Linked DNA regions of Cricetulus griseus. Each later gene encodes a partner of the first gene's protein in a complex. Links are inferred from orthologs where the notes say so. Each region holds a gene or a part of one and is shown on either strand. Other genes may lie near its edges. The genes, in order: Gtf2e2, Ercc3 and Polr2k.

Evidence for each region.
Region 2: Gtf2e2 (region 1) and Ercc3 share a complex: the UniProt entries of both Homo sapiens proteins name them as parts of the TBP-based Pol II pre-initiation complex. The link is inferred for Cricetulus griseus from reciprocal best matches to the Homo sapiens genes GTF2E2 and ERCC3.
Region 3: Gtf2e2 (region 1) and Polr2k share a complex: the UniProt entries of both Homo sapiens proteins name them as parts of the TBP-based Pol II pre-initiation complex. The link is inferred for Cricetulus griseus from reciprocal best matches to the Homo sapiens genes GTF2E2 and POLR2K.

What each region holds. Positions count from the first base shown.
Region 1 is NW_023276807.1:51,052,827-51,056,869, reverse strand, and holds part of Gtf2e2 (transcription initiation factor IIE subunit beta), read left to right. Parts: intron 1-1,152; coding exon 1,153-1,260; intron 1,261-3,901; coding exon 3,902-4,043. UniProt on the Homo sapiens protein: Recruits TFIIH to the initiation complex and stimulates the RNA polymerase II C-terminal domain kinase and DNA-dependent ATPase activities of TFIIH. Both TFIIH and TFIIE are required for promoter clearance by RNA polymerase.
Region 2 is NC_048595.1:205,088,393-205,092,435, reverse strand, and holds part of Ercc3 (general transcription and DNA repair factor IIH helicase subunit XPB), read left to right. Parts: intron 1-177; coding exon 178-274; intron 275-2,671; coding exon 2,672-2,789; intron 2,790-4,043. UniProt on the Homo sapiens protein: ATP-dependent 3'-5' DNA helicase/translocase. Binds dsDNA rather than ssDNA, unzipping it in a translocase rather than classical helicase activity. Component of the general transcription and DNA repair factor IIH (TFIIH) core complex.
Region 3 is NC_048603.1:15,287,989-15,292,554, reverse strand, and holds the start of Polr2k (DNA-directed RNA polymerases I, II, and III subunit RPABC4), read left to right. Parts: upstream 1-1,399; 5' UTR 1,400-1,496; intron 1,497-2,571; 5' UTR 2,572-2,580; coding exon 2,581-2,641; intron 2,642-3,191; coding exon 3,192-3,284; intron 3,285-4,566. UniProt on the Homo sapiens protein: DNA-dependent RNA polymerase catalyzes the transcription of DNA into RNA using the four ribonucleoside triphosphates as substrates.

The DNA.
Region 1 (4,043 bases):
CCGGGTCAGGTCATCTCACCTTTGGCATTCATGAATTTACAGTACCCTTCTGCTTACCTATGTCCTGCTCTTTAATAAGCTTAAGTGGGTTTTGTTTTTGTTTTTTTACATCAAACCCCAGAATAGACAAGTTTTCAGGTATCAGCCTGTCTCTGATTAGCTTTGGTGATTTCATTGTGTTCACCTGATCTTTTGGTCAGTGGAGGACTCTGGAGGCAATCTTTTTTGAAGCATGACCATGTATTTGTATGACTGTGGTTCAGCAGTGAAAGGGCCACATAGAGAACTTCCTTGCTGTGTGTAGCTTGTATTGTGCTGCAGTTTAATTAGTCCTTATTGGTGGTCAGGCCTTAGAATGTATTTTGTCTTTCTTAAGGGTTTGCAGCACCCTATATTCTGGCAATAAGAAGGCCTGTTTTCTTGTATCTTAGCTAATAGATGCATCAGACATTTTTACACTCTCCTGATCTGATAGGGGAGGAACATCGTGGTAGAAGTTGAGTGTCTTTTCCTGTTTAAGGGCACTTGAATTTTCTTTTTCTTCTGTTAATCTGTGTTTCCCTACAAGTTTTGTTTTTTTCTTTTTAATTGACTCTTGCAACGACTAGAAAAATTTGTTGTTGCTGTTGTCCTCATCAATCTCAACACATCTTCATCTTGTTATGTAGCCTTTATTAGTTTTGAACTCATCATGTAGCTGGTCTTCAACCTGTGATTCTCCTGCCTCTCAGCCTCCCACATGCTGTGTATCCCCACTCCTGGTTTAAGGTTAGTTTGTGATTTTTTTTTTCTTTCTCAGTTTATCATTTGATTTTTATCAGTCTGATTTTGTATGATTTCATGTTCAAGATTCATTTATTATGAATACAGTGTTCTGCCTGCATGTATCCCTGCAGGCCAGAAGAGGGCACCAAATCTCATTACAGATGGTTGTGAGCCACCATGTAGTTGCTGGGAACTGAACTCAGGACCTCTGGAAGAGCAGCCAGTGCTCTTAACCACTGAGCCATCTCTCCAGCCCTGATTTCATATTCTTGATCCTGGTATTCATGCTTACTACTTCAGATAATACATGGTGTACATTCCTGAAAAGATTAGTTTATGTCTGACTTTGACTTAATGCACTTAACATTTGAAATCTTCCCTCAACAGACACGGCATCAACGAGGAGATACACATCCTTTAACTTTGGAGGAGATTTTGGATGAGACACAGCACTTAGATATTGGACTCAAGCAGAAACAATGGCTAATGACTGAGGTGAGAATAGTTTTTTTAAAACTGTTGTAAAAAAAAAAAAAGCTAATTACAAAAAAGGGGTGTTTGCTACAGCTATCTAGAGTTGGTTCTTTTTTTCAGGGGCAGGGGAACGGTGGCTGGAGATGAAACCCAGGGCCCAGCATGTGCTAGGACAGCCCACTACTGATAGAACACTCCAGCTTGTAGACATGTTTTATCAAATTTTTAAGTCATCTCCAGCTTGTAGACATGTTTTATCGAATTTTTTTTGGGGGGGGAGGTGGAGCTGGGGGATGTGTGTGCCTGTGTGTGTGTGTGTGTGTGTGTGTGTGTGTGTGTGTGTGTGTGTGTGTGTGTGTAGGGGATGGGAGGGAGGAGGGAGGCAGGGAGAAAGGGGCAGGAGATAGGGTCTCATTTTGTAATCCAAACTGACTTCAGACTCAGGGCAGCCTTCCTGCTTTACCTGCTTTAACTTCATGAAACATGCCTGGCTCAGAGTGTTTTTTTTTTTTAATAAATACTATAATCTGATAATGTTTTTTACTTTTTCTTAAAAGACTTGATGTGTAGAGCCTTTGTTTAATTTAAACATACACATCCCTGTAATTTTTTAGCTGTTTTCATATAAATTTGTTTTAAAAATTTTAAGGCTACTTTAAAATGTGAAGCCAGTGTACCAATTTTGTTTTTATAAATAGTAGTTTGAATTATTAAACTCCTAACTTTATATGCCTATAAATTGTATATTGTATATATGCTTTATTTATTTTGCTTTGTTTTTCAAGACAGGGTTTTTCTGTGTAGCTTTGGAACCTGTCCAGGCTGGCTTGGAGCTCACAGAGCCTGCCTCAGCCTCCTGAGTGCTGAGATTAAAGGGGTGCACCACCACTGCTTGGCTCTATATGTGGTTTAGAAAATTTAATTGTGATGTTAGGGACAATAAAACATTTTATTGTGTTATTACCACTGTATAGTCTGATAAGTGAATTGTCTTTAGTTTCTTAGGCAAATGATCACATATGCTATGTTTAAATATATGTACCATTTGAAGAAAGCCTGAAACAATTGCCGACCATGCCAGTTTGCCATCGAATGACATATCATCTGTTTGGGTGTTTGTTTCTTTAAATTGCCTACTTTTCAGGACCAGTCTGAGGATCAGATATTAGCTGGGATGTAGTGGTGCACGCCTGTAATCCCAGCTCTTGAAAGGGTAAGGCAGGAGGATGGAAAGTTCAAGGACATCATTAGTTCCAGAGTGAGTTCAAAGCTGCTCTGCGCTACAGTTAAAATTAAAAACAAACAAACAAACAAAAACCCAAACAAACAAACAGTACAGAATACCCACAAAATTACCAGATGTAATAATTTCATTGATTTATTTGAGGCAGGGTCTCACTCACTAGATCCTCCTGCCTTTGCCTCCCAAATGCTGGGATTAAAGACATGTGGCACCATGAGTGGCCTAATTCACTTAATTAATTTCACCAAGCAAGGTGTGATTCTCTGTTTTTGTAATATAAAATGATTTGAGCAAACCCAAATCATTGGAGGTCATAGTCTTCTATCAGTTATTTGGCCATTGCTCGAAGCAGAACCTGCCTGAGATCATTGGTTTTTATTCTTTAAGCTTTTTTTTTTTGAGACAGGGTATCACTGTGTAGCCCTGGCTGTCCTGGAACTCAACTGTGTAGATCAGGCTGGCCTCAAACTCACAGAGATCCACTTGTCTCTGTCTCCAGAGTGTTGGTGATAAAGATGTGTGTAACCACTCCTGGCTTAAATGTTACTCTGTTGTATAGGCTGACCTCACACTTGGCAGCAGTCTCTTGCCTCAGACTCCTAAATGCTGAGATTATAGTAGGTATGAGTCACCACAATCAGCTTATACCTATGATTTTTTAACTTAAAAATGTTTAGACACTGCTGTGATGTTCTCCCATTATAATGCCAATATATGATAGAGGAGGCATGGGCATACCATGTTCACTGTGTCATTAATAGGTTATTTTTTGATTCCTACTCAGTTTGTCTTCTAAAAGAATAAGGGTTCTTCAAAGAAATTGTAATACAATGAGTTTTCTCTCTAAAGAATGTATGCAAATAGTGTACAGTGTAGTTGGAGTTTTCTTTGGACTGCCAGCTTATGAAAGCACATGAAAGCTTGGCCTTAGTTTAGGCTTGTCCCACTAGCTCTTATAACTTAAATTGACCTGCTTCTGTTAATCTTTGGTTTACCATGTGGCTTTTACCTTTGTTTAATTCTGTATATCCATTCCCTCTGCGTCCCTCATTGACATAATTTGCACATCTAGATTCCCCCTCCTCTTCCTCTCTCTCCCTGGAAATCCCACCTATCTTCCCTGCCTAGCTGTTGGCTGTCCAGCTTTTAATTTACACCAATCACAGCATTACATCTTTTCACAGTGTTCACATATCCCACAAACATACATTTTTTTCTTTTCATCTTAAATAAGAAGCAAGCACTATGCTGATCACCTGTTCTGGGATCCTGGATGTCTAATAGTCTAATATTTTAGCTCTGCAAGTTTATAGTCCATAAATACTTCAATTTGCCCCTGTGTTGGGTAATATTAGAATTTAAGAACATACACATGAGGTTTCCTTTACTAAGTAAAACGTAATTGTGGTGTTATCACAGGCTTTAGTCAACAATCCTAAGATTGAAGTCATAGATGGGAAATACGCCTTCAAGCCAAAGTACAACCTGAAAGATAAGAAGGCCTTGCTCAGGCTTCTGGATAACCACGACCAGCGAGGACTAGGAGGGATCCTGCTAGAGG
Region 2 (4,043 bases), on another chromosome or scaffold:
GCTAAGTGAGAACTGGGGTTGGAGTTAAGGCTAGATTGTATGGTCCCAGGGCTAGTCGGGCAAGCTGGAGTGGCTAGTATCTCAGGTGTACTTGATTTTCTCTTCACTGACCGAATGCCTGGTGGAGTCAAGGCAAGAGTGTGATTCTGTGATGTTTCTAAAACTCCTTGCTCCTAGACCTTATATCTACGGGCCCACATCCCAGGGAGAGAGGATGCAGATTCTCCAGAACTTCAAGCACAACCCCAAAATCAACACCATCTTCATCTCCAAGGTGTGTGGTGCAGGCTGGCGGGGCAGTGCCTCACTCTTCTGGACATGGTTCATACATGCTGAAGGCCTCCTGTGTGTGCTTACTTTCCTGGCCCAGCGATGGGGTTAGGGAGGGGCAGCTCTGGCTAGTGTGAAAAGTAACTTAGGGTTCTTATGTCTTGAGGTTATCTGTAAGGGCTTTTCACTTCTCAGGTGTGTTGTACCTCTCCCTGGGAAGTAGAGATTTAAATTTTATTTCCTTTGTCTTTCTGGCTCTGGCAAAAGCAGGTATTAGAATGAAGCTTCCTTTTTGGAACTGGAGATGCTGTGTGTTTGGGAAGCTTCTGTCCTGGTGTCTGATGTGCCTTGATGGTGGGTGGCCAGTGCCACAATGGACTTGGTAGGCTGAGCTTCATCATGGCATCACTGTTACCATATGACCCTTTGTTTTTTGTTTATTTTATTCTATTCTGGTTTGCCCCCCACCCCATTCCCCATGACAGAATTTTTCTGTGTGTATCCCTGGCTGTCTTGGAACTTACTCTGTATACCAGGCTGGCCTTGAACTCACAAGGATCTACCTGCTCTGGAGTGATAAGACTAAAGGAGTGTGCCACCACTGCCTGACCCGTGGTTTAAATGAGGTCTTTTTATTTTTTTTCACTAATGATCTCTTTTCACCTAAAAACTTTTGATATATGTGAACTGTCTGGGCTTGGGGTTCAGCAGGGCACTGAAGTGGATGCTCTTTTGGGTTAGATGTTTGTTAGGAGAGTTCCCTACATCATGGCCACACAGATAGATGGCAGCAGCACAGCAGGAGCTCTGAGAATAGTTCAGGCCCGAAAGGCAGAGTGGGAGTCTGGAAGAAGGTTTCACAGCACAAGCCTACAGCCAGGCTGTCCCTGATCCCAGGGAGGTGTAGCTCTAGGGGTGTGTTGTTGAGGTGTATCCATTATACCAGTTAGCTGGCTCATGTTTTTAGAGTCTGACAACCTGTGAACTTTTTTGGGAAGTGAGAATGGCACCTGTCACTCTCCTGGAATCACTCACCTGGTGAGTCTGTTGACAAACTCATAGCCACACAGGGATCTGTCTCTGGTGCAGCAAGGGTGCAAGAGTGAACTACGAGGGTGGAGACATTTGTTAAAGATGAAAGTGAATTCTCCCATTGATGTGATGGACTTGCTTGCTGCTTTTACTAAAGAATTAACATCTCAGCTGATACCACAGGATGTACAGGATCCTGTTGTAGGATGTAGAACACTGTCAGTGCTTTCCAGAGTTGGTGGATATTTTTTGTAATTGCCAATGCTGAGAATGCAGTTTCACATAAATACATACTTCAGAACAACAGAAGTATGCTTGGGGCCACTCCAGAAATTGTTAGAAATTCTGTCCTAATCCCAAGCCCAAATTTGTTGAATGATTTTTTTTTAAAAATGAATTTCAAAAGTTATCCATTAAAATAGGGTTATTAAAATTAAACATTCTATCACAGTATAATACAAAGATATACAAATTTATTACTCACATGCTTAGGAATGATTGTAAGAAAATATTAATTTGTTTTCCATAAATAAACCATTATGTAAACGCAGAAAAGTTTGTGCAATTGAGGTATTTTAAGCAGCATTTATTTGTGTTGCAAAGATGATGGCAAGCACAGTGTGAGGTGTATGTGTTGTGTGTTTGGAACCAAGGCTATAGCGAGATTATGCATTTAACTAAACATGCAGAAACCTTTAAAATAGTTTAATTACATTTATTTGTTTGGTTGGTAGGTTGGGAGAGGGTGCTGTGTTGTATGTGTGGAGGTCAGAGGACAGCTTGTCCTTCTACTACACCTGCTGAGTCACCTTGGACACGATAACCCATAGTGTAAGGAGCTGGATAGCATTTAGTCAGGTGAAGATAGAACTAAAGTCTAGAAGACAGGAGTGTTTCCAGTCTGGTGGCCATGGCTGGGTACCTCTGTGGTGTGAGCTGAGACCCCAGTGAAGGAGCCAGCTCTCAGTGAGGGTCTGTGTGAGTAGTAAAAGTGCATTGTTCTACTTGGGCTGCTGCAGTTGTCAGTGTTCATCAAGTAAGACAGGTTTTTGTACAGACCCATTTCTGTAGCACAAAGATAAAAGTAGTGGCCAGGTTCTGGGGAGGTCATTCTGAAGTTCATTGTGTCCTTGACAAGAGGAAGAGAGGATGTTTCTATAAATTATCTCCAACTCTGACTTAGTCTTAACCAGAGATGTATGGGGAGTTAGCTTGGTGGGAGAGCACATGCTTAGCATGCCTGAAGCCCTAACTCCATTCCTAGAACTGCAGGAATTTAAGATTGAAATTCTGGACTAGTTGATATTCTTTTTGTTCTTACTATTCCCTATATAAAAACTCCCAGACCATAGCTCCTTTATTTCTGTAGGTCGGTGACACATCCTTTGATCTGCCAGAAGCAAATGTCCTCATTCAGATCTCCTCCCATGGTGGTTCCAGACGGCAGGAAGCCCAGAGACTGGGGCGGGTACTCCGAGCCAAAAAAGGTAAGGCTGCCTTGCATCTGCTGCCACAGGCTGGTGGATGGCCTCTCACCACACAGGTTAGGAAGAGTGGAGGTGACCTGCTGGTGAGACCTTGATGGGAAGGTCCCCAAGCAGAGCTCAGAGCCCAAAGTCAAAGTCTTCATTATTTCTCATGGCACAAGGGATCCATGCTCTCCACAGAATCTTTAAATGGCTCCCTTTTTTTTTTTTTTTTTTTGGTTGGTATTTTATTTTTGGGTTTTGTTGTTGTTGTTATTATTATTAGTAGTAATATTATTATTTTATTATTTTGGTGGCTTATCAAGACAGGGTTTCTCCATGTAGCCCTTGCTGTCCTGGAACTCACTCTTTAGACCAGCTGGCCTTGAACTCACAGAGATCCCCCTCTGTCTCCCGAGTGCTGGGATTAAAGGCATGCACCACCATGCCTTGCAGTAACTTCAGCTCCACTAGATCTTAACACCTTCTTCTGGTCTCTTTAAGTGCACACACATGGCATATACTCACACATACCCACAAACATACACATCAAATCGGAAATAAAATCTGGGCCATTCGGTGGTGGTACACGCTTTTAATCCCAGCACTTGGGAGGCAGATCTCTGAGGTTGAGGCCAGCCTGGTCTACAGAGCTAATTCCAGGACAGCCAGGGCTACACAGAGAAACTCTGTTTCAAAAAACCAAAAAAAGAAAGAAAGAAAATGTGCAGATGAACACTACTGTCTGAAAAGGCTCCTCTAGCCTCCACACTGCTGTTCTTCTCCTTGAGAGATGGCTCTCTGATTCCCACTCTCACTGAAGTTTTTCTCCAGGCTTTAAGGGAAGCCACTTCTTCCCTTTAAGGCCTCATATTCTATCACCGTATATTGTAGCATTTCTGTGTGAAAGCTTTCCCTTCCACCTTTGAAAGTGCCTGCATTTACTTACCATACCAGGGTCACCTGATAGGACCTGAGGAAGGAAATCAGGGCAGGTTAGAGGGGCCACAGCACCTGTAAGGCTGTGACATTTCTTCAAAAGAAGGGCAATTAGACTTTATACGTTTACCAGAAACAGAATATAATTGTCAATTGTCAAGATCAATAAAGTTGTAGTTGCCAGGATACAATGATGTTTGTAAGCTCTACATGGTACATAAGATTAATGTCTAAGACCAATTGTCCTGTCGGGTTTCCACGCTTTGTTGACTTCTGAGGGAACATACAGAGAAACACAAGGCGGCCTGCAAGTTCACTACCTGAGGGAGTCCATCA
Region 3 (4,566 bases), on another chromosome or scaffold:
TTCTAATAGTCTGTAGCTCCAGTCCAGGGGCTCCGAGGACCTTTTCAGGTCTCTGCTGGCACTAACACAGACAACTCAAAGTAACAACGAAATCTTAGCCGGGTGGTGGTGGCGCACACCTTTAATCCCAGCACTCAGGAGGCAGAGGCAGGCGGATCTCTGTGAGTTCGAGGCCAGCCTGGTCTCCAGAGTGAGTGCCAGGACAGACTCCAAAGCTACAGAGAAATCCTGTCTCGAAAAAACCAAAAACACAAAACAAAGAAACAACGAAATCTTAAAATCTCAGACGTCTAATGTAAGCCCCCTGGAAGCTCAGGCCTCCAGAATCCTTTCCCAGGACTGCGGCCATCCCAATCATCATGAGGAGTCGGAAACTTGATGCAAACAGCAAGAGGCTTTAATGAAAGGTAGACGTTTGTACGAAGGGGCTCTCTCAGCATGCAGGCTAGAGAGCAGCCCCGTCCCCCAGGCACAGGCCTTTTTAAAGGCAAAAACCACAAGCTTAGGGAGGGGTGTGACCAGAGTCACAGGTGCCTAAGAGACCCTTTGTCTTGAGGAGAGGGCTGGGAATCAGATGGCCTCCTGACCCACCAGCTGTAAAACCTGCAGACCTCAGGATATGCTTAGCTTGCTTGAGCAAATGGTACCTATCTCTTTGTTTCACAGGGACACTTAATTGTTAATGATTGACACATTGGCCGGTGGGGCAATCTGTTTTTTTCATGAGCCCCTCGGGGAGGGTGGCCATCTGGGAATTCTTGGTACCCAGTTATATTATGGCCTTGTAAGGGAGTAATTGCTTGCGGCTGGTAAATTCCAGGCCCTAAGTCCTAATAGTGGCCTTAGTTTCCGAGTTAGGCCGCCCTACATTCAGTTTGGAGAGTTTCCTTATCTGGGCTATATTTCTTTGCTAATTTTTAAGTCTTTCACTAGCAAGTGAGAAGCCACACCACCCTTTCTCTACAGCCGGGGCTTAGCCCGGCAGACACACCTGACCGCCCTAGGATTGGGGAGACTTTGTAGCGTGGCTGAGGGCGAGCGTTTAACAGGCTGCTGGGCTGTGTGCGGAGGAAGCAGCTCAAGCGACCGTTTTCCTGAAGATTCACCCCTGCGAGCCACCGAGCTAAGCCAACGGTCCTGAAAAAAAGTATTTTTAATTGACATCTCCGGGGCCTGGGGGAGAGCCGCGCGCTGAAGGGCAGCCAAACAAAAGAGAACCCTGTGCAAACGGCGACGAGCAAATGGCGACGAGCAAATGGCGACGAGCCCGAGTCTCGAACCCGCGACCGCCGCCGGAGCGAGAGCTGCTTTCGGCTTCCGCCGTCGCCTGTGCCCAGCCCGGGCTCTCGGCGGCGGAGGGGACGGGGCGGGGGCGGGGCTCCTGCGCGTCATTAGGCAGCGCCGGAAGCGCGCGGTCCGCGCCGGTAGTGAGTCCGTCACTGAGGACGCGGGGGAACGTTTGTGTGCGTACCGAGACTCTGCTTGGAGCCGCGGAGGTGAGAGATCGGTCTGAGGGCAAAAAAACTGGCTTTAGAAGGTTTTAGAAAGTTCCCGGGTGCCCGGGAGAGCTGGCTCCACGCCGCCTGGGCGCTCGGGAAACGGAGGCAGGGGACTGCCGCCTTCAGCAGACGGACGCCCGGGCTTTGGGGTTGGCTTGGGCGATGAAGTGAGTTCCGGGCCAGCCTGGGCTACCAAGTGGGGAGCCTCTCAAAGAGCCAAATAAACGTAAATAAATGGTCGGTGACTGGGCTGGAGGGGCGGCTCAGAGGTTAAGAGCGCCGATTGCTCCTCCAGAGGTCCCGGGTTCAATTCCCAGCACCCACATGGCAGCTCACAGCTGTCTGCAACTCCAGTTCCAGGGGACCTGACACCCTCACACCAACGCACATAAAATAAAATAAATTTAAAAAATGATTTATGACAAGATCCCCGGCGGAGTTAGCGGATTTTTGTGGGTTTTTTTTTTTTTTAGTTTATTTGTTGTTTGGTTTTTCGAGACAGGGTTTCTAAGTTTATTTTTATTTTTTGTGCATTGGGTATTTTGCATGGATGTCAGCTGGGTGCCCTGGAACTGGGGTTGCACACAGTTGTGAGCTGCTATGTGTGTGCTGGGAATTGAACTCAGGAGGAGCAACCGGTGCTCTTAACCTCTGAGCCATCTCTCCAGCCCCCCCCCCCTTTGCTTCTTAGTGTCGGGAGACGCTGGGCACACAGAGAGCTGTGCTTAGCCTCGGTTTCCCCGAGTGTAAAGAGTGATGCCCTCTGGCACCTTCAAGAGTGTCGTAGACCTTCGAGATGGATTCTGTGTTGTTGAGAATGTGTTTCCTCCTTCAGACCCAGCCCACAGTTGGTGGGGAAGGGGGGGTTTCAAATAAGGAATTATGATTTTTTTCCCCCTCATTCTGTAATACTGGGGTTTGATCCTCGAGCCGCTGTGTTCTGGGCAAACATTCTACACCTGAGATTTTCTCTTCACCCCGGAATCAGGACCTTGCGTAGCTGCTGGGGAAAAGGGAGCCTGGTTGGTTTTGTGTGATGATCTTGTTATTCAAGCTTTGGCTCTGATTTCAGGCACTAGCAATGGACGCGCAGAAAGACGTCCAACCCCCAAAGCAGCAGCCGATGATATATATTTGCGGAGGTAAGATTAACATTTAAGTAGGAACGTTTTTTGTTGTTGTTTTGGTTTTTTGGTTTGTTTGGCTTTTTTTTTTTTTTGCTTTTGTTTTGTTTTTTTGAAACAGGGTTTTTCTGTGGCTTTGGAGCCTATCCTGGAACTCACTCTGTACACCAGGCTGGTCTCCAACTCACAGAGATCCCCCTGCCTCTGCCTCCCTAGTGCTGGGATTAAAGGTATGTGCCACCAATGCCCTGCTTAAGTAGGAACATTTTACCTCAACTTTCCATATATGAGTACTGATCTTCAAAGTTATAAAGCGGAGCACTCAGGAGGCAGAGGCAGGGGGATCTCTGCGAGTTCAAGTGAAACACTTTAGCATCATTAATGTAAAAGTCCCTCGTTAAGATTTGTCTTTTCATCAGGAAAAGGTACGCTGCCGACAGCTCTTTTCTTTCCTCCTTGGTGTATTTAGTTTCGGGGCTTTGACTTGCTCTGGCGAAGTCTGTGGTTATATTTGGTTCCCTGTAGTGTTTCTCTTTCAGGCATTGACTGAACGTGTTTTATTCCCTAGAGTGTCACACGGAAAATGAAATAAAGTCCAGGGATCCAATCAGATGCAGAGAATGTGGATACAGAATAATGTACAAGAAAAGGACAAAAAGATGTATCCTTCTGACTGGGCTTTCTAAACGTAAAGAGGAATAACTAATACTCGGTTGATAAAGACCAAGTTCTGACAAAAGTAGCAACTTTTGGGTTGTTTATTTTTCTAAGCAGATTGAATGTGACTTTATTAATGAAGAGTTTATTAACTGAGAATGTGGGGGGCTCTGAAGGACGTAAATGTATATTATTTTAATATGAATTATTTTTCACCAAACTTGGAGAAAAGAGGCAGGCAGAGCTTTGTGAGTTCAAGGCCAGCTAGAACTACTAAGTGAGACTCAGTGTCAAAAAAAACAAATAGGGGCTAGAGAGACTCGTCAGCAGGCAGGTAAGGGCATCGGCTGTTCTTCCAGAGGACCTGTGTTCTGTTTCTAGCACCAACATAATTACTCATGATCCTCTGTAACTCCAGTTTCGGGGGTCTGATCCCTTTTTCCGACCTCCACCTGTACAAAGGACCCAAGTGTGTGTGTGTGTGTGTGTGTGTGTTTAAAAAACCCTGTAAGTGATTTTAGCTTTTATTTTACTTTTTTTTTTTTAGTTCAAATTAGAAACAAGCCTACTTCGATTGTCAATCCCTGCTCCCTCCTCTCTCTAGCCCTTCACCAACTCACCACATCATCCCCCCCTCTGCTCCCCAGGGAGGGTAAGGCCCTCCATGAGGTATCCCCAAAGTCTGTCATATCGTTTGGGATAGGGCCTAGACCCTCCCCCATGTGTCCAGGCTGAGAGAGCATCCCTCCACGTGGGATGGGCTCCCAAAGTCCTTTTGTACACCAGCTCTTTTTTTTTTAAGTAAACATGATTAGTGTTTTCGTGCCATTCATTATGGGCTCTAAGTAATTAAAAAATTAATCAATTTGGGTTTATGTAAATGTTTTTAGTTTTTTCAGGAATTCTTTGTTAGAAGTAGTCACTCTTGATTGTTAGCTTATGGGTAATCTAAAGTATGGGAGGAGAAATTAATAACCTAGTGGAAAATAGGCCTACAAATTAGTCCAAATACTGAAATTGTTTCAGTGTAACTGACACAGACTCTCAAAATCATCAGTGTTTCAGTGTTTTAAAATATCTTTTTCGTATTATCTTTTAAAATTTACCTATATTGTTATCTTCTGTGTAATAGAGAGTGAACTAATGAAAATGGAAGCTGAGTATTTTATTTTTTTAGATTATCTCCAGTGGCCATAATGAAGTTCAGTCTTTTGTTCGTTTTATATGAAACAGCAAGCTTGGTGCAGAGGTGGTGACTTGGAAGCCTCAGTTTTACATAGTTTTTA